Tribolium castaneum: one gene and its partners. The protein of the gene in region 3 purifies or fractionates together with the protein of the main gene of each other region. This does not show direct contact. Links are inferred from orthologs where the notes say so. Each region holds a gene or a part of one and is shown on either strand. Other genes may lie near its edges. The genes, in order: glu, SMC2, Ufd4 and alphaCOP.

What was found.
Region 1: the proteins of Ufd4 (region 3) and glu purify together in Homo sapiens (affinity purification with western blotting; 3 studies listed by BioGRID, with this or other methods). This does not show direct contact. The link is inferred for Tribolium castaneum from reciprocal best matches to the Homo sapiens genes HECTD1 and SMC4.
Region 2: the proteins of Ufd4 (region 3) and SMC2 purify together in Homo sapiens (affinity purification with mass spectrometry; 3 studies listed by BioGRID, with this or other methods). This does not show direct contact. The link is inferred for Tribolium castaneum from reciprocal best matches to the Homo sapiens genes HECTD1 and SMC2.
Region 4: the proteins of Ufd4 (region 3) and alphaCOP purify together in Homo sapiens (affinity purification with mass spectrometry, with the first as the bait; 3 studies listed by BioGRID). This does not show direct contact. The link is inferred for Tribolium castaneum from reciprocal best matches to the Homo sapiens genes HECTD1 and COPA.

What each region holds. Positions count from the first base shown.
Region 1 is NC_087394.1:25,210,417-25,216,327, forward strand, and holds part of glu (structural maintenance of chromosomes protein 4), read right to left. Parts: intron 5,864-5,911; coding exon 5,674-5,863; intron 5,627-5,673; coding exon 5,444-5,626; intron 5,248-5,443; coding exon 4,885-5,247; intron 4,836-4,884; coding exon 4,633-4,835; intron 2,706-4,632; coding exon 2,285-2,705; intron 2,230-2,284; coding exon 1,734-2,229; intron 1-1,733. UniProt on the Homo sapiens protein: Central component of the condensin complex, a complex required for conversion of interphase chromatin into mitotic-like condense chromosomes.
Region 2 is NC_087399.1:6,191,624-6,197,137, reverse strand, and holds part of SMC2 (structural maintenance of chromosomes protein 2), read right to left. Parts: intron 5,485-5,514; coding exon 5,347-5,484; intron 5,293-5,346; coding exon 4,513-5,292; intron 2,342-4,512; coding exon 2,078-2,341; intron 2,032-2,077; coding exon 1,492-2,031; intron 1,439-1,491; coding exon 851-1,438; intron 1-850. UniProt on the Homo sapiens protein: Central component of the condensin complex, a complex required for conversion of interphase chromatin into mitotic-like condense chromosomes.
Region 3 is NC_087402.1:10,969,355-10,975,986, reverse strand, and holds the start of Ufd4 (E3 ubiquitin-protein ligase Ufd4), read left to right. Parts: upstream 1-2,257; 5' UTR 2,258-2,389; coding exon 2,390-2,398; intron 2,399-3,731; coding exon 3,732-3,871; intron 3,872-3,922; coding exon 3,923-4,676; intron 4,677-4,730; coding exon 4,731-5,015; intron 5,016-6,632. UniProt on the Homo sapiens protein: E3 ubiquitin-protein ligase which accepts ubiquitin from an E2 ubiquitin-conjugating enzyme in the form of a thioester and then directly transfers the ubiquitin to targeted substrates.
Region 4 is NC_087403.1:717,872-724,273, forward strand, and holds the start of alphaCOP (coatomer subunit alpha), read right to left. Parts: upstream 3,616-6,402; 5' UTR 3,485-3,615; intron 3,416-3,484; 5' UTR 3,314-3,415; coding exon 3,234-3,313; intron 1-3,233. UniProt on the Homo sapiens protein: The coatomer is a cytosolic protein complex that binds to dilysine motifs and reversibly associates with Golgi non-clathrin-coated vesicles, which further mediate biosynthetic protein transport from the ER, via the Golgi up to the trans Golgi network.

The DNA of each region.
Region 1 (5,911 bases), on a different chromosome or scaffold from region 3:
GTTTTGTTTTTTGTAAATTTACATTTTGAATTTTGAGCTCTTCGTATAATGGCCGCTTCAATTTAGTAATTGATAATTATTAACCAATATCAAAAGTTAAGTAAACTACAAGCTGAGTCTGCATAAGTAGTCTTTGCTGTAACTATACTAATAAATACACAGAAGTCAACGTTTACTATTAAATACTATATGTTTTTCTCAATGCATGTAAATTTTTTCAGAATTTTTTCACAGTTCCTTTTAATAAATATTAATTAATAATATTAATAGTACATTCATATAACTAAAAATATAAAAATAAACGATGCTTAATTTTTTTTGTTTTATGCAAAAATTCGTAAAAAAAAATTGACCCTAGCTTCAAAATGACATCTGTTTGTATCTATTATTTTTATTTAGGTAATTCATTTTTTCTTGGGGCTACCGCTTATTTTGTATACGTTTTTTTTTGAGTCTCCTAAAAGTATACTCAAAAACTAATATTCAGTTAATCATACAAACTTCAGCGTTTGATGTCAAATACTTTATATTTTTCTCCTCAGGTATTTTTTTAGAATTCTCCTTAAAATTAAAATAAATTACTTAATGTAATTACTATTAAGTCGCTGCCAAAAAACTACTATTTCTAATGTCGTTTTAGAACAAGCGATATTTAATTGTTTTGTGCAAATAATCTATAAAAAATTTCACTAGCCGCAAAGTTAAAAATTAAATCAAATAAACCTAATTTTGGAGCCAACAACAATTTTATTGGTTTAAGAATGCTCAAAATAATCTTCGTTGTTTTCGAATAACACTAGAAATAATAAAATTTCGATTAATCAATGTTTTATACTTTTTATTGATACTGATATTCTTCGGTAATTAATTTTAAGTATTTTAAGTATGACTACACAAATTCTGGAAAAATTTACAGGTCTAGAGAAAAACATAAAACATTTAATTTGAAATTTAATGATTTCAGTGCGACTATTAGTTTTTGAAATATTGTAAAAAATACTTATAGAAAACTCATCACTCTGTTAAACAAAAAAAAATAATAACAAAATGTTGTATTTATCAAAAACTAAAATTAAATTATGGACACAATGAATCTGTTTGACCCGAAATAAATAGCTTAAATACTGTCATTGAACAAATTATTATATTTAATGCAAATTGCGGGATAAAACCGATAGAGCCAAATGTGTGAAAAATACATTGCATTCAAATTTTCTTGGTAATAAATATTGTAAATTAAAAATATTATTCTGATGTCCACAATAAACAAAATGTTTTGAATTTAAGTTAATTAAATTTTATATTGATTATTAAATTTCAATAAAAAGGTCAAATGATCTAGTTCATTGCTAAGCAATTAATGCAAGAGAAAGCAATTAAAAAATTACCTTTGCTAAACCTGATTCCGAAAATAATTGAAAATTAGAAGAAAAGGAGAATTATTAGCAAATTTAGAGATAGTTAAATAAGAAGATATTGTCCTATTTGTTATATGAACACCAGTAGAAATTCTAAACAAAAAATAAAGTCAAATTTTGGAGAAAAAAAACATTTCCTAAACTTTTAGAATTTGTTTCCTAAATTGCTACATTAGTACATTCCAAAATGTGAAATATAAATATCGTTTTGTTTTGTGATAAACAGGTATTTATTTTTTAATTTAATACGAGGTGAAATTGATAGTTGTACAAATAATTTAATGTAGAAATGTGTATTGTTTTTAAATTCCTTACCCACGTTATCATCCTTGCCCTGTGTCAACTTCTCGGTAATATCTTCAATACATTTCAGTAACTGTTGTCCATCAGCTTCAATTTCATCCCTTTCTTGCTTCATGGTTCTTAACCTGTTTTCACAGTCGACAATATTTTGTTCCAATGTTGCAATTTTTTGCGTAGTCTTATCTAAATTTCTTTGAGACGTTGTTATTGCAACTTTAAGTCGAGTGATTTCCGTTTTACATTTCTCAATCATCTTCACAGCTTCGTCAATTTTTTTCTCAACACCCACCAGTTTTCCGCTTGTTTTTTCTTTAATGGCTTTGTTTAAGTTGTCAACTTCGTCTTGAATTTCTTTCATAATATTAAGAGCTTTCTCATATTCGGCTTTCTTTTCGTCAACAATCGCCGCCAACTTCTTGATTTCTTTAGGGTCAGATTTGGTCGATTTTGCGACAGTTTCTTGTTGACGCAACTTTTCATAGAGTAACGGTTGTTCCTCATTCAACGACTACAACAAACAAACAAATAAAACAAAATAAAATATCGAAATATTGTTCAAAAACCTGGAGATCTTTGCTGAATTTCTCGTAATTGATTCTCATTTGATCAAATTCGGGTTTTAATGTCCTGATTTGGCTTTCCAAACTATTCATTTTCTGAGTCAGTTGTCGCAGACGTTCTTCTTTTTTCTCGATATTTACTTGCATTTTTTCCAACTCTTTGGGATCTATAGTGGATGTGAGGACGGTTCGACCCATTCGACCCCTGCTTACTGTCTTTCCACCACCACTCATGGTACCGGAAGGTTCCATGATTTCCCCTTTCAGTGTTACCACCCTGAAGCGTTGGGCACCGAATGCAATTCTGGTGCCTTGATCTAAATCGTCCGCAACTAAAGTGTCTCTCAGCGCGTAGTAAAAGGCAGTTTTGACTGTGTCGTCTTGCACTTGAATGAGGTCATACAAGCGATGCACATTTTCAGGTCTGAAATTTTAACATTTGCTTTCGTTTTGAAATTCAAATTACATTAAATTTAACTAGTGCACTAATTAGAGAAAAATGCATAATTGTTGTGCTTTACTTTCTTAATAGGGTGAAAAAACCTTACGTATACAAATTCAACATGAAAAACACGACAAAATTATTACAAAATTTTAAATTTGGGCTCTGGCACGTATTTTTCAAAACGCTGCGAATACTGATGAAGATAGAAAAAAAATGAAAAATGTAAGAAAAAAGTTGCAGACAATCAAATTTCCTTTAAAAAATTCTCCAAGATCAAATATATATCTTCAAAGGTTTAGGCCACAAATACGTTCAAAGACAAATACGTTTCAAAATTTATTTTCTATATTTTTTCCCACACTTTTTTCTTTCATCAACCGTAGCCTTTTGAAAAATATGGAACACACACAAATTTGTCATTATTGCTTATAATTTATAAATAGTATACTGATTTTGATAAAGTGTTTACGTTAACTTTATTTCTTATGATTTGTTTAAACTTCTGCAGAAAAACCGAAAGTTATTAAGTTTTTTCGAATCTTTTGTTTAATACTAACAAATTAAATCTCTTAAAAGTGTATTTTTTCTGAATCTCAAAAACTAATAATCACACTGAAATCAGCGTTTGCAATTTAATACTTTGCATTTCAGTTCTGTGTGTGTTTTTTCTGAATTTGTCTAAAATTCCCTATAATTAAAATGAACCAATTAATATTAAGTCGCTGCACAAAAAGTACCATTGTTTTAAGCAATTCGTGTTTTATAAACTGTCCCCTAAATTACTGCAGTTAAATTTTATAAATTCCAATAAGCAGACAAGAAAATTTAATGTAATTGTTATTTATTTTGTTAAGGTTTTTAAAAAACAGTTTTGAAAAATTCCTCTTACCCACAAGCAGGACAAACGCTTGTTTTAATTTACTTAACTTTGTAAAATAAAATAATAATATATCAAGTAAATAAACAACTTATTTTATAGTCAATTTTATGTCTGTTCGAAAGTGCAATTATGTAAGTTTCAAGTAAAAAGGTCCTTTTGTGTTTTTGAACTTGGCGTTATTTAACTACAATATTATGGCAACATTTTTTTATACAAAAATAAATAAATCTCAAAATGAACGATTGGATGGCCGAAACGCTATTCTGTAACTATTCTAAAAAGCTGTCAAAATTTAAAACACGTAAAAATTGAAAAACTAGCGATTTTTAGTTATTGTTCTAGCAGCAGCAACGAATGGTCTTTAAATTTTAATAGTTTTAAATTAAAAAATGTATGATTATTAAATTAACTGATATTACTTAAAACCTGTAACAAAACTAAATTTAATTGTTTAAATTTTTATTTGGAAGTGTATAGAAATATCAAGCGACCAAATAAATAAAAAAAAATATTTTGTATGTCAATATAAATTTAAATGAAAATTTTTAAGTAGTAAGAGATTTTTTCAAACATCCAAATAGCCTGTCACAGACAAAATTTTCCAGGGATCCTGAATCTGCAAGCGGATTTTATCTACTAATAGTATTTTCCGAAATATTTTGTAAAGTTTAAAAGTTGGAAATTTTCAAGCAAAATAAAATTGAGGTTGATAATTACTTGACACTTGATCAAACACCGAAACAGTTTTTGAAAAAAATATTAAATTTTTGGAAACGGCGAATCGGATTATGTCGCCTCCCGATATTTATTCTCCGTATTGCAAAATATTGGAAAGTAGTTTCAATTTTTTTTTACATGTTTCTCGTAAAAATTTTAGTCATGAGTTCTTCTCAGCCTATCAGGAATGTTACTAAAGCTCAACATTTCAGCTTTTTTCCAAGAAATTATTAGTAAACAGACTGCATTTAATCATTTTAAAACCGTTTAATCTGTATCTCATTTCAATCCTATTTTGAAATGACTCACGTTTGAATTCTGGTGTTGGCACGTTCCCTCAAATATTCCTGTTTATCAAGTGCGATAAAAGTAACTCTTCCAATCCCGTGAGTTTTTAAAAAATCAATACACCATGCAGCTGTATCTGCTGTATCAACCACAACATTGTCCAATGGTCCACACGCAGTTGAAATGGCCACGTCATATTTTTGGTCAATGCCCCCCAAATCACCCTAAGGAAATATCATTCACAGAAGTCCCACTTTTATTTTTTTTACTTACAAGACGTCCATAGAGCCCTGGACATTTCCCTTCACGCTTCTGTTGCATCAAAGCATCCAAAACTCTCCCACGTGACTTGGAACTGTTCATGGAAGCACGAGTCTCCTCCAAAGACATCCTTTGTCGTCTAATTTCATGTTCAATTTGATTTTGTTCGGATTTAACTGCGTCTAGTTCATGTTGCGCGTCATTGAGTGACTTTTCCGTAAGAGGAATTTTCTTTTTAAGTTGCGACACCTCTCCAGAACGTTCTTTAATACAAGCCTCTTTGTTTTTAATCGTTTCACGAAGTTGGTTAAGCTTTTCTTGTTCGGTTTCTTCACTGCTTCGGGCAAAATTTAATTGCGTGGAAGCCAAATCATACTAAAAAAAATGAGTAACAATAGTACGTATTAACAAGTACTCATTTAACTTTAGTAGATATTCGTGTTTTAATTAATATTAAATGCAAACTGCAAACACTATTTTTTCTATAACCGGATCATAATAAAAAAAATAATTTTTATCAATATATAATTTAACAAACCAATTAAAAGTATGGATTTAGAAAATAAATTACCTCATTTTTTGTTGTGTCAACTGTCTTTTTGAGTTTACCAAGTTTAGTTTCAAACTGTTCTTTCTTCACTTGTAGATCTTTCGTCTCATGACCGATATTTTCCATTAATTTTGCCTTCTCTGCTTGTAATTTTTCGTGCTGTGATGTTAAATCACGCTCTCGCTTCTCACACTCTCCAATGAGCTGCAGAAAAAAGTTAACAAAAATTAAATACAAGTAATTGTCATTACTTTTGCATTTTCTTCAGGCACTTTTTGTAACTTAATTAGTTTCTTTTTTTCATCTTCCAGCTGTTGCTTAAATTTTTTCCTGTTATTGTTAGTGTTTGTCATTTCGGCTTGTAGTTGGGCATCCTTTTTATCAGCCGCATTGAAAGCATCCTTGAGTTGATCCTTTTTCTGTTGCAACTTTTCATATTTTCTAGAAAAAAAATTGTTAAAACAAATCAATGTTTCAATAGCTATTTAA
Region 2 (5,514 bases), on a different chromosome or scaffold from region 3:
ACACGAATAACGAATGACTGTTTGGTTCACTTTCTTTATTGGAAAATTATTACAAAGACATTGAAAAGCCTACCTTTTGGCATAATTTACGTTTAAATGTATCAGCAGTTGTTAATCTTTATTGTAGTTTTGCAGATTTACCGCAGCATTTCATGATTTTTTCAGTGGAAAATTCTAACCTAAAATTCATAACACTTCACTAATTTATTGGTTTCTTGAGCCAAACTTTGTGTTCGCTGTGATCCATTACTTATAATCTTTAATTAGACAACTGTTTGATAACACTTTGTAATCAAAATTTAAATATTTTTCACTTTTTATCCACTTTCAAGTTCCAACAATAAACACTATACCACGAAAAACTACAGAACCAAAGTCAACGCTAGTATTTACCACCACGTACTTTTAAAGTAATTCTTTCTATTGTAAATAATTAACACTATACACGCAAAATTGTTGAACAATTCATTAAATGTCAGTTAAATGTGGCATTACGAAAATTTCTTTACTGTTTTCGACATAGTTCAAAAGTCATCACCAGAGGGCGTCTAGTTAATTTTATTTCCGAATAAAACAATAATATTTAATTATAGTTCATAATAACTTAGTGAATTATGTAAAGTAACTCAGTCAGTCTGACATCGAATTTTGAACTTCTTGAATGAAATTGATGATTAAATAGGACATTTCTTAATTAATAGCACAATTTTATCGTATTTTTCAGAAGTTTAATTGATTAAAAATGAAAATTACGAGCCAAAATTCAGTTTTTTGCGATTACTTCAAATAAATCATTCAAAAAATACTTAAATGTACGATGTTTTGTCCTTTTTCCCTTAATTTCAATTACCTCAACTCCCTGAAGGACCGTTTGTCCCGTGGGCGGCAACAGCTTGGCGGCGGCCCCTGGCAACAACGTGCTGAAAATCGAACCAAAATCTTTGGAAATTTGCGAATAAGCCTTGCACACAATATCTTCTCTCTTCCTGTCTAATTCTTTAATGGCATCGAGCAGCTTCTGTTTGTCTTGTTCAACAATTCGTAACTTTTTCTTCACTTCATTGTACTCTTTTTCCTGTTCTTCGAAATGGACTTGTGCTTGGCTGTTGACCGTGCGTCCAAGGTTTTTCCTCATTTCTTGTGCTTCTCGAATTTTTCTCTCCAACTTTAGGCCATCTTCATCTGACATCTTCTCGGCGTTTTTCAACTCGTTGCGATTGGCACGTTGCTCACAATCAGCTTGACGCGTCTTCAAATTCTTACACTCGTCTTGTAGTTTCTTCAACTTGTGAGTGGATTCTTTCATTTGGATCTCACACTGGGTGATTTTCGACTGCAGTTCTTCCTTTTCGTTGATCTTCTTTTGCACGTCTTTGTTCTTCTCGACGATTTCGGCTTTGCCTTTCTTGAGTTGGGCTTGCAATTCGGCGATGTTTTCCTAAAACACCGAGATTAAAGTAGAATTAACCAGTGATTAGAACAAGTATTTACATTCATTTCGGTTGATTGCGTCCCGATTTCTTCAAGTTGCTGTTTTAATTTTTCGATATTTGCTTCAGCTGCTTCAATCTGCTGCTTCGTATCCAACAAACTCTGTTTCAATTCTTCAATTTCTCCCTTAAACGTTGCATAATCCAACTCTTTTTGTTGCCACTCTTTTCGGCTTTTGTCCGCTTTTGCCTTCAATCTGGCCATTTCTGCTTCAGCCTCTTTTAATTTCTTCTCGGTTCCACCTTTCGAGCCTTCGACTTGTTTCTCCAAACTGGCCACTTTTTCGTTGAGTTTCTTCTCATTTTCTTCACACGAGGCAATTGTTTGCTTCAAATTTTCGATTTCTTTTTCCAAATTCGCTATTTCTTCCTTCTGTTGGTAATAAGTCGATTGTTGCAACCTTTGCGTAATTAAACTCAATTCGTGCTCTTTCAATTCCAACTGTCTTCGATACGTGGCGAATTGTTCTTCTTTGGGGCCCATTTCACGAATTTCGGACTCGATTTTTTCAAATTCTTCATCTTTGGCATTCAGTTGTTGCTAAATAAAAATTAACAAAAATTTTTATAATTGAATAACTAATTACCTCCACTTGTTTTATGGTTTCGAGTTGTTTCAAAACCGATTCGGTTTGTTCCCGGGAACCCCCAGTTAAGGTACCCGCCGGGTCGACAATGTCGCCATCTAGCGTCACACATTTGCGTCTAATCCTGTTATCAAAGGCGACTTGTTTTGCCACATCCATGTCCTTACAAATGAACACATTTCCGAAAATGTGTTCCATAACGACTTGCATTTTTTTGTCGTACTTCAAGTAGTCCAAGGCCAGTTTGATATTGTCTTTCCCGACCTACAACCGCCATGTTTTGCGACATTTTGAATATACACCAAGGTTTTTATTTTGTTGAACGTCACTTGCTGTTTCAAAAACTATAAAAAAATAGCAACAATCTACTTACATTTTTTTGGGGTCAAATGAGTTGTGTTAAATTAAATTCCAGTAAAAAAAATGTGCCAAGAAAACACCTTAATTAAAAAAAAAAACAATTGTGAAAAGTGACAGTTGTTTTTATAGTTCTGAAACAGGTATTACGTTATTTAGAGCGTTAATTACTAGTCTTTCATTTATATTATGCTAATAAAATATTATAAAGTAGGTTTAATTTTAGTTTAATATTGTTTAAATTATTTTTTTATTCAATAATTTTATAGAAAAATGCCAAATACAGTAAAAAAATTATATAAGAAAAAATATCCTGAAAGAAATATTCCAAACGCCCCTAAAGAAATACTTTAAAGATTAATTTATTACAAAAAGCTGCTGCTAGAAAATAATATTAAACTTATTATTGAAAAATAAGTATTATCCGTTCACGATTGTTTTAAATTCTCAGCAGGCGTAGATATATTTTTCTGAGGTTGGCTTCAGGTCCTGTCAGGTACTGTCTTTATGACGTTGTCTTGTCAAAAATTCGCTGTGTTGTCAGTTCTACTACTTATTAATTTAAAATGTCGAAAATAATTTCTGTTGATAAGAAAGTGTGCATCAAAAGATGCAAGAAAGACAGACCCGACTTTTTTAACTAATGATAATGAGTAGAATAACAATAAAAACGTATTTAATTAATTATTTAAAAAATGAAGCAAACTGACAACAGTCGTTGGTTGTCATCAATTATAACCCAAAATAAATTTCTTATGACAACTCACAGTACTGCCAAATAAAATGTCAGATTTTCATAGATAGTCCGAATTTAAGACAATTATGTGGTATGTTTCAAATCTTTAGCACCAATTGTCAATTTTCCTTGGCTCTAAATTTGTCGTAAGCTAGAATTGTTTTCTTATAAATAAACTCTCATTTTATGCTTTAGCTTTCTCAAAAAAAATGCAAATGCGATGTTGTAATTTTTTCTTAAAAACAGAAAGAAAAAAAAAGGAAAGAAAGTAAAAAAAAAGAAAGAAAGAAAGGAAAAAAGGAAAGAAAGAAACTAAAAGACTTCCATACGTGATAATTTTAGCACAATGGAAAAAAATCAGTGCGAAAAAAAATAAAAAAGATTCACCTAGAAATAGAAGAAGAAGAAAGGAAACGACTTAAAAGTGCAGACAAAATCTCAAAATAAAAACTCTAGAACAAAAAAAACTTAAAACAAATAGGGAAAAATCGAGTAACAACAATAGTAATAAACAAAATTTTGAAAACAGATAACCATTCTTAAGGTTAAATCTTAATCCTTTAACAAATGAACACCAAAAGCTAATTGTGTTATCAGTTTTATGACTGCGCTTGCCAGATATTACTGAAATAAGACTTTTATTAAAAAAAATTATAAAACAAAATGTATTAATTGTACTCAAAATATTTCAAGGTCTAATGCGGCTTTAACTGCCTACGCTGTAAAAAAAGTACTATGTATAAATGTATAAAATAAAGATGTTTAATTTACATAAATAAAACTCTGAATGTTTTGAATGCTTATCTTGTTTAAACAAAATTTTTTTGTTAACATATTGCTGTTTATAGAGAATTTGCGATTTATTTTGTATGTTTTTTTGTTTTATGTTACAAACAAAAACATATCTTACTGAAGACTTTTATTTAAAGTTGAGGTGCTAATGACTAAAACATAGAGTGCCAATAATAATTGCGCAAATGCCAATCACTAATTTTTTTTTGTTTTTTATTTTGGAATTATTTAAAAATTAGCTATAATTTTTTTTTCGGTTAATATATTTTGTTTATTTAGGTGCATTTAGGAATAATTTGGATTAAATTACCACATTAAAAAAAATCTTCACATAACGCTTTTGTTTAAACAAAGATATGGTTAACCCTTAAGGTGCCAATCGCTACACTACTTACCCCATTGTCTATATGGTAGAGTTTATTTCGCTGAGCATTACATAATTAATTGTACTATTATGCTATGTTCAGTTGCATTGTAAACAACAGTTATACAGACAGAAACGCCAATAAAATATAAAATAAAAAATTAAATAAAATCGTCATTGACTTACCAAAATCTCGGCTGTCTTAACAACACTGTTGCTCATCTTATTCACTTGAATTTTATTAAGCGGCATGAAGGTGCGCCTCTGCTGTAAATCCCCGTTTTTGAGTAGCTTCTTGCCGGTAATGTCGGTATCTATAACAACATTGTACAACCGACCACCGGCTGCCATTTCCAAAGCATACGCCGCCGCCTCGTCTTTCACTTCAAACAATCGGCAAACAACTCCAATAACACTGCTCCTTTTAAAATTGGGTTCGGGGTCTTTATACCTGAACTGGGTGTATGAATTCCGCATCTCAAAATGATCAACCCGTTGCTTCAAAACCCTCATTTCTTGCGCCAAGTGTCCTCTCCTATTCTTCAAATCGTTCATCCGGTCCTCCTTGAAATGCAATTTTTTCATACTGTTTTTCAATTGTTCAATTTCTTGAGTCATGGCCTTTTGGGCCTGTTGGTCTTTGAGGATTTCGTTTGCGTTGGAACTTTTCCGTTGTTTTTCTTTGAGGCGGTCTTCAAAATATTTGAGCTTGACGCGAGTGCAGTTTTTGTTGCTGGTCACTTCAGAGACTTCTTGACGTACGTTCATTAATTGGGCGAGAAGCGACTCGGCTTCGCCTTGGTCGTTGAGTTCCATTCCAGCGCTTAAAGCCACAACTCGTTTTTGGGACGTAAGGTAAGCTTCCTTGTCCTTTTCGTCCGCTTCTTTGAGTTTGAGGAAAGTCGATTCGACTTTCGCCAAGTTGGATTCTTTGAGTTTGAGGGTTTTTTCGTCGTCGGAAAAATTCTAAAAAATATTGACTAGTTGCTGGAGAAATTTAGTTGGGTGGGAGGGAAATACCTTTTCCAGTTGCTTTTTTCTCTTGGTTTCGTTGTCAATTTCGTCGTTGAGCGATTTTATGTTTGCGTTCACTTTGGCTTGGGATTTTTCAGCCGTTCGTAGTTCGTTTTCGAGTTTTTCCAAACCTTTATTACCATCCTAAATAATTATTTCTTAATTAATAAAAGT
Region 3 (6,632 bases):
TTGAAATACCTGGCCTTGGTTTATATTGGTTTATTTTTTAAATTAAACAGATTAGGTATGTGTCCGGATTTTGCCAAAATGTTAATTTTTAATTTTAATTTTCATCGTTAGGTTAAGCACAAACTGAATAAATAAAAGCGTAATTGAAAAAATTTGATGTGGCTTGAATTTATTTGTTAGTAAATGTATAACAGTAATGAAAGTGACTCATATTTAATCATGTTTGTCTCTAAATGGTCCATTTTATTCTGACATGTCAGGTGGTTATTGTTAAGATAATTTTTCACTGAAATGTTTGTCAACGGTTGATAAAAACAAGCATGTGTTTTATTTCATTTATTTATTTATTACTTAGAGAGTATCTAATGCGAACGAACTTTACATACTGTTTGTGGATTTTTTTTTTTTGGTAATTGCTAATTTTAGAAATTCAGCTGTTTCAATAACATGCAGGAACGTCAGTTATATCTAAAGTGCGCCACTGTTTGCGTAAATATGTACAAGTGGAAAAGACAATTTTACTTTGTGCTAAATAATTCTAATGTTTTGAAGAAATTGAAACGTTACATGAAATTGCACAAATGTTTTTGCTTTCAACAACTGTTTTCAATATCTCTGTTTCAACATTTTGTATAAAATGTAACAGTTTCAACAGCAAAATAAAATGGGTCGAACAATAAACCAAAACCTATGTAAAATAAGTCTCCAACAAGGTTAAACATAGTGGAGTTTATTGCAGCACTAAATATCGATTTGTAAAGAAAGGGGGATTTTATTATAATACATCGTCGATCAACTTGTTAACTCTTTTCGATAGAAAAAATATATAGGTTTACGGTTAATTGTTACTGCCAACCGGCCTAGAATATTTTTTAAATATCCGGTACTATTTTTCTTTTGTTCTAAATTAGCTGATTAAAACTGTTTACTCATCTAAACATAGCTTTCTATGTTATAACAAGAGAAAATATTTAAGTAAGTGAAAGCAAATAAATTTTCTTCTAAATTAGTGATAAAGTTATTTCTGTCGAGGTGGATTGAATATTTTGTAAATTAGTTGGGAGAATTGCTTTTTATCTTAATTAAATGTTAGTTCGTCTGTATTACATCCGCCAGTTTAAATTAAATTTTAAACAACTTAACCTGAAATTGGTATTATTCCACCTCGTTAAAATTAACCGGACCAATGCCGGTTAAACCTCCTAAATCACCTATTTTCATTTAAATTACCATTCAATCTGTTTGTGCTTTCGTTTCGATAAGAGTACATGGATTATTGTATGAATAATTGAATAGTATTCGCATCTCGGGATTGTAAAATTGCTGTTTGTTTCATTCATATTAAATCCGCGCCAGTGATTGTATTGAAGGCGTTGTTTGCATCCCTCACCTTGTCCCACCCTTTGAATAAAATAAATAAAATGATATGAAAGCAATCAATAATGCGACTTTTCGCTCTAGCAACTATATCGATTACCATGGCGATTAAGCTGATAAAAATTGAAGGCTTTATTTATAAATAAACACAAAAATGGGTTTGTTTGAAGAACAATCCAAACATTGCATAACAATTTGAGTATCTCAAACAAAACGATTTTATAGATAGCAGAATTTATCCCAAGAATCATGTTTATGTAACCGTTAGAGCGTTCAAAGCGCAATTTTCCAGTGAAAGTCGAAGAGACGAAAAGAAATTAACAGCAAATGCCGCGACGTCGTCGTGAAAGTTATTTTTATTGGCGTAGCACGCGTCGAATTCGCTTCAAGGAATTAATTTCTAATTAAGTGAATATAACGATGATTAAAAATTTAATAAGGGGATGTTCATTCGTCGGCTAGTTTCTCTCCGGTCCCGGTACGAAACAAATGAGCCAAATGAAAGTTTTATTTATAAATAACCGATTCCAGAGCCAAGAATCCCACCAAATTACCACCATCACATAGAAAATTGCGCAGTGACTCATGAAAAATCGCGCGACTATTTTCGATTCTATGTAAATTCGCACATGTTTGCGTGTAAATTTTATGACACATGTATAGTGGGTTGATTTGTAAACAAACAGAATTTTTGAAGGTTGCTATTCTTTGTTTTGGTGTCGGGTGTTGATCTCGTCGTTTTCAAAAATGCGATTTGACGACTTAAAACGCGGATCTACAGTTACGTAACGGGACTTTTTCGTGATGATTGGCCATCGTCGGAAGACGATGCATCAGTGATTTTGTCGTTTGAAGAGATTTTTTGTCGTAATTTGGGTCGATGGAGTCGTGAAAGTCGGAATGTTAAATTTTTGTTAAAATGTTTCCTAAACATTGCACCATTTCCTAAAGATGCGTCAATATTTTCTTAATTGGACGATTAAACCCCGGTTTATTTATCTATTAAGAAAAGATGTATCAGGTAGGTAAATATTTTTTTAATTTTGACATTAATTCTCATGTATCCATTGTTGGTGTGTAAAAAACTTGCGCTGAGAGTCATGTTTTTGTACCGAAGTCTTTATATCAAAGGAAATTGCCACATTGCGTAGGTGGTAATAAATAACTTTCTTGCATAATCTTTTAACTTCAATCTTGTAAACATTGATGATTTTTTGTGATGATTTATTTTGAGAAGGCGAGCATCAAAGACGAAGCAATTTTTAGATGTATGTAAGAAATTAACAGTTTTGAATAAATATTGGATGGAATACCGTGCTTATTAATGAGGAAACGTAGAAATATTTTCCATATTTAATTGCACAATTGGAAACACTTTCAAAGGAAATGACAATTCTATTTACATACAACTTCTGGAACATATTCATTGCGGAATGAGTTTATCTTATCATGCGAATCGTAAATATTATGTTTTTATTGAAACAGCTAGAAACATCTAGAAATATGAAAATGTCCATAACTATGTGTCGTTAGTTAACGCATCCTTTATGATTTCTCAGGTACACAAAGGTGCAGTTGAGAATTGTTTTGTCTCGACAAAGAAATCTTTATTTGAAAGATGACTTTAAAGTGCATTTCCTTGAAAATTTTGCTGTACAGAATAAGGTTTCAAATGTACTACCTACATTTTAGCAAATTATTTATGAAAATAAAAGTGTTTTAAATCGTATAATTTGTTAAAATCGCGCGTAAGCAATGGAAAAATCTGCAAATTATAATAAGCTATAAAAATATTGCATAATTGGGACGGTATAATAGAAAGGTGGCATTAGCTCTTTTCTGTCATAATCTTCACACATTAATTTTTAAAACAATATGATATTAAGACTTGGCGCATTTTTATGAAAAGTAATCTTGAAGGCGGATAATGCGGATTTATTATATTCTTTCTGCTTGTTAGCAGAAAAATAACTATATTTTTGTGTAAGCTTCCGGAAATACGGTATACGTATCTTGTCTCAGGTTGGCTAGAATTTTTCTTTTTGTATTTTGTGTAAACAGAAGGTGTAGTAATGGTGCAATACTTGTATTGTACTTTTGCTAAGTTAATTCAAAACTAAGGCAATTAAATATTAAACCATCTATTAATACCATAGTGGAGACAATCCGTAACAAGTTGTTGCCCCCTTTGTTTAAGAAGCAATCTCTATTTATTTCTAGTTGAATTGCTCATTTGCTACCTGTAGCATCTCAAACGTGCCATAGACTCCCTAAGTAGAACGACCGTTTGAATTTTTAACGTCAGTCTTACCTGTTCTAAATCACCTACAATAAAACGTTATCTCCGATTTCAGATGGCAGATCCTGATCCTGAGACGTTGCTGGAATGGCTAAACAGCGGTCTGGGCGACGAGCGAGACATGCAGCTCATCGCCCTCGAACAACTATGCATGTTACTTCTCATGTCCGACAATGTAGACCGCTGTTTTGAAAGGTATTTCAATAAAAAAAATTGTAGGTTTTGTTGATAATTAAATGATTATAGTTGCCCTCCTCGGACGTTTCTCCCAGCCCTCTGTCGCATTTTCCTCGACGAGCAGGCCCCCGAAAACGTCCTCGAAGTAACGGCACGCGCCATCACTTACTACCTGGACGTCTCGGCGGAATGCACACGTCGTATCGTCGCCATCGAGGGTGCCGTCCGTGCCATATGCAATCGTCTCGTTGTCGCCGAACTCTCATCTCGAACGAGCAAAGATCTAGCCGAACAATGCGTCAAAGTACTCGAGCTCATCTGCACGCGTGAGGCCGGTGCCGTGTTTGACGCGGGCGGTCTCAGCGCTATACTTCCCTTCATCAGAGACAATGGAAATCGAGTACATAAGGATACGCTCCATTCGGCCATGGCCGTAGTCTCCAGATTGTGCACGAAAATGGAACCAGCCGACGTGCAATTACCCACATGTGTGCAAGCCTTGAGCACGCTTCTGAGGCACGAGGATTCGCACGTGGCCGATGGAGCGTTGCGGTGTTTCGCTTCGGTGGCTGATAGGTTTACACGGAGAGGTGTTGATCCTGCACCTTTGGCCCAACACGGTTTAGTAAATGAGCTTTTGAGTCGATTGTCGAACGCTGCGGGTCCTTCAGTGGCGACCGGTACGCAGAATACGTCGGGTAAAGCATCATCAACAACGAACGCTACTGCCGCCGTACCAGACGCTAAAGCAACAGCAGCTTCAGTATCAACAATCATCAGTTTATTGTCCACCTTGTGTAGAGGATCACCTGCGATAACACACGTAATCTTGTTACTACAGTGACGTGATTTGCTTGATTGATGTTTTAAATTTCAGGATTTGTTACGTTCGGAATTACCCGATGCTATAGAAAAATCACTTAAAGGCGACGAACGTTGCGCTTTGGATTCGATGCGACTCGTCGATTTACTTCTAGTTTTATTGTTTGAAGGCCGTCGAGCTTTAGGCAAATCAGGTGGTGCTACCACCTCAGGACAACTCTTGCCAAGGATGAGACGAATGGATCCGGCAGCTGAAAAATCACACCGACAACTTATCGATTGTATTCGGTCGAAAGACACAGATGCACTCATCGAAGCTATAGAATCGGGAGGAGTCGAGGTAAAGACGAGTGGCCAAAAACACTAAACTTTATTTTTAATAAATACACGACACAATAATAAGAATATTTTAATTTTGCACAATTTATTTTGATTTTTGGCTCGAGAACGTGCTAAATAGTTGACCTAGTTTACTGATTTTTCATTCCGGTGTTATTAAATCGAAGTTTTTATTCTATCTGCGTGTTTAAGCGATTGAAAAAGACAATTCTGGTATTATAAGTGATCGATTCGTTGACTGAAAATTTGCATGATTGGAAAAACAAAACTAACTGAAATTCGGTGATTTTTTGAATTATTTTTATTGTAATTTTGGAAAATAATCGCGGTTTTGGATGATTTTGCTTGGATTGTAAAAATTGGTTGATTTTAGATGATTCTTTTCTCAGAAATGGCAAAACTCGCTGTAGAAAACCTGCCATCACTCTACTCAGGTGCCGGGAACGAAGATTTAAGCATCAAGTTTAGCACTTGATTCAGACGATTCATTCACAAAACTTTCTGTCCAAAAAATCTGAAACGACAATTCAAATACAGTTTTGTTGAAATTAGTTGATTTTAGATAATTTATTGTTCATAAATTCGCTGTAGAAAACCTGAAATCGGTTTACCCTACCGATGACAACTACGATTTGAGCACCAATTGTGTTGAAATTGTGTTGTGTTCAATTTTGGACTCTGTCTTGTCCAGAAGTATCAACATAACGTCCGAATGATCTACTTTTGTAATTTTTCAAACCGTCGTGAAAGTTTTTAGCCCTGAAAGCGTATTTTTAAGTACATTATTTTCAAACCAACTCAGCGATTTCTTGGGTAATGAGTAATTTTTTACGAAATTTTTGGTGAATAATTGCGTTCATTGATTTTTCGGTTCTAAAATTTTACAAAAACTGCGTATTTATATCAATAATGGGCCTAAAACACTCGGAAAATGCAAATTTTGAACTAATTTTGAAATTTCTCGGTTTTACAGGAAATTTAATGAAACAACTGCGTTGCTAACTCACACGGAGGGCAAAATAATGTACTTTTTGACCCAATTTAGTATTTTTTTCGGCTGGTTTTTGAGAAATTTGGTCACATAATTACGGTTTTAAAGGTGAATTGCCTGGACAAGCCAAAACTAAATTCGGCTTATTTTGAATTAATTTTCTTAAAATAATAGCGTGTGTCATTGAATAACTTGCTGAAATGTTCGAAAAACGTAAAAATATAAATTTTTGATTTTGTATAAACAAAACCTCACGTATTTGCTCAAAAAAGATAAAAATAACACCATTTTTAACCCAATTCGACAAATTTGACGCAATGTGCATGTTCTTGCAAAACATGACTCTAATATCGACCTCGTGAAGGCCTAGCGAGTTAAAGTTTTGCGGTTAAAAATTTACTGAAATGTAATAATAATAATAATAAAGTGTCCTTATTTAAAATAATATTATTTGTGTCTTAAGGTATGGTATTGACGAATTATATTCAACTTGCTAAGAATTGAACGAAACAAATTATTTTTTTTAACAATAGGAACCAGCCAAATTATTGTCTCGCTTTTTAGTTGTTTTTTTTTAGTCAAAACGCGTGTCGTGTGTTTAAAATTAGGAAGATGGTGCTTTTTGTA
Region 4 (6,402 bases), on a different chromosome or scaffold from region 3:
TATCAAAGAAATTCGACAAAATTCATTGCCAGCTCATTTATAAAACAATAAATATTTTTTCGTTAATTTAAATTAAATGATTAATTGTTGGAGTTTTAGACACATCAAATTTTCTTTCAGATAATTGTTCAGCATATAAATGCGCAACTTTGCCCTAATTTAACCGACCACGTAGGTCTTATAATAACTGAGATCCCCATGGTGGAGCTCAAAAAACCAACACCCCCTATACATATTATTCAATATATCTTGTATGAGAATTCGTTTTCGAGTGTCATTAGTCATTACTCATTACTCATTAGCCCTGTCATCCTAACATTAATTGTGTGGGAGTAAAGAATGATACTAAGAAAATTTTTTTTTAATTATTTTTTAGAAAAAAGATCTTATTTAAAAGATGCTCTAAAAAGTAAAAAATTATGTTTTTCTCCCAGAGGAGAATATTTTTGCTTACAAGTTAGGATTCTAAAATTTATAAAAGCTTCGGGAACAGTGCTGAATTCAAGAAACTAATTCTGTAATGCCTTATTGTTATGACTTGTGACTATGACTTATAATTTATGATATGACCGTTCCCAGAGTTTTTATAAATTTTAGAATACCAACTTGTAACCAGAAGTATTCTTCTCTAATAGAAAAATATTATTTTTTACTTTTCAGTGCATCTTTTAAATTGAATTTTTTATCAAAAACAAATTTGAAATTTTTTAAATTTTATTTTTGCTAACTAAAACTAAAGTTTCACTTATTGTAAACGTCTTTTTCTATTAAATTTAATTTTACTGCATTATTATTGTAACACCATTATTTAGCTGACTTGTGCAAACTTGTTTGGCGGTATGTGATAGAAAAGAGCAGTTAGCATTTTACAATTTACAGCACATTCTTACCTCTGTTCTGTGTATATCGTTCAAGATAAATGAATTTAAAAAAAAAATGCGACATTTGTTTCTACCTGAACGTGATGAAAATGATTACGTATTAATGCTATTAATATTTTTCTATAAGTGAGTGAACAGTGCGCCTTTTTACACACATATGGAGACGTCCCAATGATCATCATACTGTGTATAGGTTGGTATAAGTCACGGTATAAATGTCGTAGGCTAATAGTAAAATCAGGCGTATTATAAAAAGTCTAATCATATTGTAAACGACTGGGCAAATTGAATGAATGAATAAATGAATAAATATAGGATTTTTACAATGCTATTGGAAATTTTAGGTGTATTATAAAATTTATAAAACACCTAACAAGTTTTCGTCTTAATGTAAAATGGTCTTTAATATCGTCCAATTAGACTGGGTTACATTTAGTCGTTTTGTAAAAGAACCAAAAATGCCATCAAACATTTTATAAAATTCCACTTTCTAATGTAGTTAGGTAGTTTAAAAAATTTAAAAAAATTGCACTCTAAATTTAAATTTACTCGTCGACAAAAACTCTCTTATATCTCAATAACTGTAAACATTCTGATAAGAGAAGTTGTTATTTTCGCTTATTTTGAATTCTACTATTACTACTATAACCCTCTGAAATACTTATTTATTATTATCACTAATTCACCCTGTAGTATTTTGAATTTGAGGTTATTTTTTCTTTTTATACTTATCAATTATCGTTATCACTGTAAATTTTTGGGACGAGTCGAATTGGTTCCCGGGGATGGTCGAATTGGTTCCCATCGGTCAGGTAGGTCAGGTAAACAGATTAAAGTATTATAACAGAAATGGCGTTTGTAAGTGTATGAACAAATTTACAAGTTCCAAAACGTTAAAAAACAAATCGTATTTTAACAATTTAAAGGCTGCGGATAAATATTTCTTCGAGTATTCAAGTACTTCCAAAACGATGAAGAAGGCGCATAGAACTTAATGGGTACTATGTCGAAAAATGTTAAAATTATTTTTGTAATTTGTCTCTATTTTGATGCTTTAATAGTATTAATAGACATATTAACGAACGCAACGTCATCATGTGAGATGTCTTAATAGTCATTGCTTGACGAAACATTTTACGAAATTTACAGGAGAGCATTGGGCTTAAAAAATTACTAAATTCTCCTTTTTTTAAATAACCAGTTAGCCATGAATAAATGAAATTTGTTGTTGGATTTTGTGCCAAGAAAATAATTATTTGAAAATTTCTACAAGCTTTAAATCTAAAATATTAACATATATTTGGCTTAATCCTTTTTACCTACCTGCTCATGCGGGAGCCAATTCGACCATCACCCGGGAACCAATTCGACCATTACCTTTTACAGAATTATACTTATAGAGATTACTGGGAACCAATTCGACCACGACCGGTCAGCGATGTAAAGAAACTAAACTATAACAAATCTTGTTAAGTTTATATAGACTTGGTAAATTTGTTTAATGTTTTGATGTTCCTTTATGCAAAGTTGGCGCTTTGACCGGCTCTGATAAATTAGATAGTGGTAGCTTTGTTGTGCTACAATAGAGCTCGAAATGTGTCCAGTGAAAAAATGCTGGAAAAAAGTTCGCGCATTCATAAATCTCAATGTTGAACAAGATATATGTAAACATAATTAGGCTAATTTTTTGTAGTTCTTGATATTACAAACCTATATTAATAAATATATTGCTATAAAGACATTGCTTTTCGTGTCTTCCAGCATTTTAAGACGATAATTTATAATATAAAGTTAAATTTCAGTAGTACTGACTAGCGCATTATAATACTCCAAAATAATGCAGGTTTGTTTCAGTCGTATTGCAAATGAACCATAGGTATTTTACAATAAGACGAAAACTGGTTAGGCGTTTTATAATACGCCTAAAATTTTTTCAGTTGCATTTTAAAAACCCTACATTTATTTATTCATTTACAATTTGCCCAGTCGTTTACAATATGACTAGGCTTTCATAATACGCCTAATTTCACTATAAGACTACGACATATACAAATTGAAAACCCCTTTGTGAACATAACCTGAAACTTTAAAACCCTATTTAGCCCCTTGTTCCGTAAACCGGCCATGTGTTATTCAAGTAGTTGGCTGCTAACAGATAAGAATAAAACAAACCCAGATAATTAATTGCCAACATTGATATCAAATTTGAGTAGTGAAGATTTAAAAAATGTACGACAAATATTTTAATGTTTCAATACAAAAGATAGGTATGTGCTTTGAGCCAGAAATACCGCTGTGCCATGATCTGTATGATCGCAAAAAATGATTAGATTTATTAAACTACAAACTTACCTTGCCAATATCCAAGGACGTTTCGAATGAAATGATAGGCCCTTTACACGGGCTGATTTTGTTTCAAATTTGGTCAACATTTTGAAAACTGGTTAAAATCCCCAGCTAGCTGACGTGTCTTTTGAGGTTATGTTTCTCTTTGGAAATTTATAAGTTAGGTCATACAGTAATCTATAAAATCACTGAAAGAAACAATACATGTAGTAAATAACAACACACCAAAAGTAGTATTTGTGCCAATAGACAAGTACCTTAAGTAATTTTTTTGGATTAAAAAACACATTCCACAAAACCAATATTGACATTTATCGAACATAAAAAAACACGACACGAAACACGTAGCAATTTAGGGATTTTTGGTTTTCAGCAGGTTTGCAAACAAGGTTAAACTTGAACAAGAATCAGGTTTTCTTTTAAATTAAAAAACTAGATATTTCCCCGCATCATTTTACAAAAACTAGGATCAATATAGTTCCACTTTTTCGGATAATTTTGCTGTAATTGAGAAAATGAAAAAATTAAAAAATATATTAACCCCCCCACCTTTAAAAATGGCCAAGTGTCTCAAAATCAATTATTAAAATCCATCTTATCTGATAGATTTTGATGTACTCTTTACGATGGAAAAAAGCGTTTCCTCCTACTTAGCTCTTTTATTTTGGCCGTAATCGACGATTAAAAATAGAAAACTTTTTTTCGAAATATTGCCTTGAAACCTATGCCATTTTGTAAAGCTTTTCACTTCGGTTCTCTTCAATTTTTCCGATTTTCGATAACTCTCATTGGGTGGTAATAATAAAAATGAAGTAGATGCTAATACTACAGTACAGTGGTACAGTGGAGTAAATAATAAGCGTTCATTTAAAAAAAACTTTAGAGTGCTTTGAAATTAAAAAATAATTCATGTGAACGAGTTTGCTTAAGACTCCTCGAGACCCGCAATTTCGTGAATTTCTTTCAAAAATACTCAAAAAATTGGCTCTAAGGTCTCAATACTACTGTTACTCGCTAAATTATAAGTGATTACCTGTGTCGTTGCATCTGGTGGAACATTTATTTTTCAAATGTTGAATCTGTCCACACGTTGAGCAAAAGGTTGAAAAGCCAGTTCTCTTAGCAAAATTAATCACCCATTTTGCAACAAATTGCTGCTGTTGTCCTCCGGCACCTTGGATAGCCAACTGTCATTGAAACAGTGAGCGACTCTCTGCTTGCAGGTCACACTTACTTGTATCAGTAGGTTGAAATAGGTGTACATAAAAACATGTAGCTTTTTTACAACTTTTATTTTTTTTATACAATAATATAATATTTACATTTTACTACGACTACTACTACTTAGCTAAACTTATTCTACACTATTTTCTACTAAAGAACCCCGGCCCTAAAAAATTCACAATAAATTACTGCTGAAAAAGATTCAATAAAACTTACTTCTTTAATTTAAGGCATTATGATTCTTTTTAGTTTTTAGGAAGTCGAGGTAGCTGGGCTCATTGAAATGATCCCAGTTCTCCTCTTCTTCTTTCAACATCACTTCACATGAGGCCCTTTGTTTTTCTTTATCGGCCCGATGACACTTCCAAATGTGCCTTTCAAGCCGAAACCAGAGCAGTACGTGGTTTTTGTCGTATGGACAAACTATGACATCCTCTGAAAAAAAATTATTTCCAACTAAACTACTAAAAAAATATTAAACTTACCAGGAGTATTATAAATCGAACACTTCCTTGTAACTTCCATTTTTTAAAGAATTTCTTGTTATTGCAGATATACACAAGAACTGTGTTACACAACACAACACATTAACTTTTATACAGTTTGGGGTGGAAAATGAGTAAGGACAATTGCGCGATTCATCTTGAATGAGTGAGGAGTTGTTGGCCTTGGAAAAGTGGGGAGTAGCATGAATGACCTTGACCTTGAAAACACCAAGGTCCAATAATGCCTTGGCCTTGAAATGGTGGGGGGAAGTGGGAGGGGTTGGCCTTGAAAAAGTAAGAGAGAACGAGTGACCTTGAAAGAAAGAGAGGGAAAATGGGCGGGGTCAAACTCAAGGTCAAGGTTGTGTTGTGTTGTCCCCCCATTCGTTATCTACTACCAACTCTTAAACTGATCGTAGCATTGGCCGTGCTTTGCTGAGAATACCTGAGGCTGACTGAAGGCTCTGAACCATGTTGTTCTATAAAGCCGTCCCTTAAGTTACGCAACGTTGTTAGGTGACTGTACAGACTTGTAACGCATGCAGAAGTTTCACTTTGTCTTTCTTCAGCGTTGCTTGTGGACGCAGACGGCTCTTGGTCTTGCCTAAAACATGTTTTTTTACTACATACTAAGCCAGGGTCCATCATTTTTTTTTGTAAAATTTTTTTCGGCAACTAATGTTCAAAAAAAGTTGTATGAGGTATTTAAGAGTATTTGAAGACTATACCGGATTGTACGAAATTTATTTATTTATTTACAGAGACAAACAGCTCTATAATAAATAAAATAAAAAAGGCTTGGACTTTGAATAAAGTAGTTGACCGAGTTATAACAAAAAAAAATGGGACCGCTGTCACTTTAGCTAGGCTCTGCTAGTGGTAATTTTTTCTCATTTTGCTTCTTGTTGGAACAATAGTCTTTAAAATTTACACAATCAGAATTTAGGCAAGAATTGGAACGAATGTTTTTGTGGATGTTATCTTCAATTTTTTTCACTACAATTTGCACTAGTTTATCAATCACACAAAAAAAGCTACCTTCTCTAATTATAAATCCAAATAATTAAAAGATAGTGATGGTAGTAGGAAAAATTAAAATTGAAATCTTCAAAGTGAAATTTTTGGCAGCGAAATAGCGACTTTGCGTTGACTTTGTGAGCATTTTTTTGCGAAATTTGTTCGCTCAAACATCACTTAACACGGTCAAATATTGCTTTTTTGTTTCCTTTTTGAAAATCCAACCATTCTTTTTGAGTGATAGTCACTTGTGTTGGCAGATTTATTAAAATATGATTAAACTTTGCTCAAGTTAGCTGAAAACAACTATTTATACGAAAAATGTTGTTTAAAAAATTTTGTTTTTGAAAATTAATTAACTGGGGCTGTCTAAAGGCTGTTTTTGTGTAGTAACAATATTTTTGTTAAAATCGGAATTCCTTAAAAAAAAATTACTCAACTAAACTGAC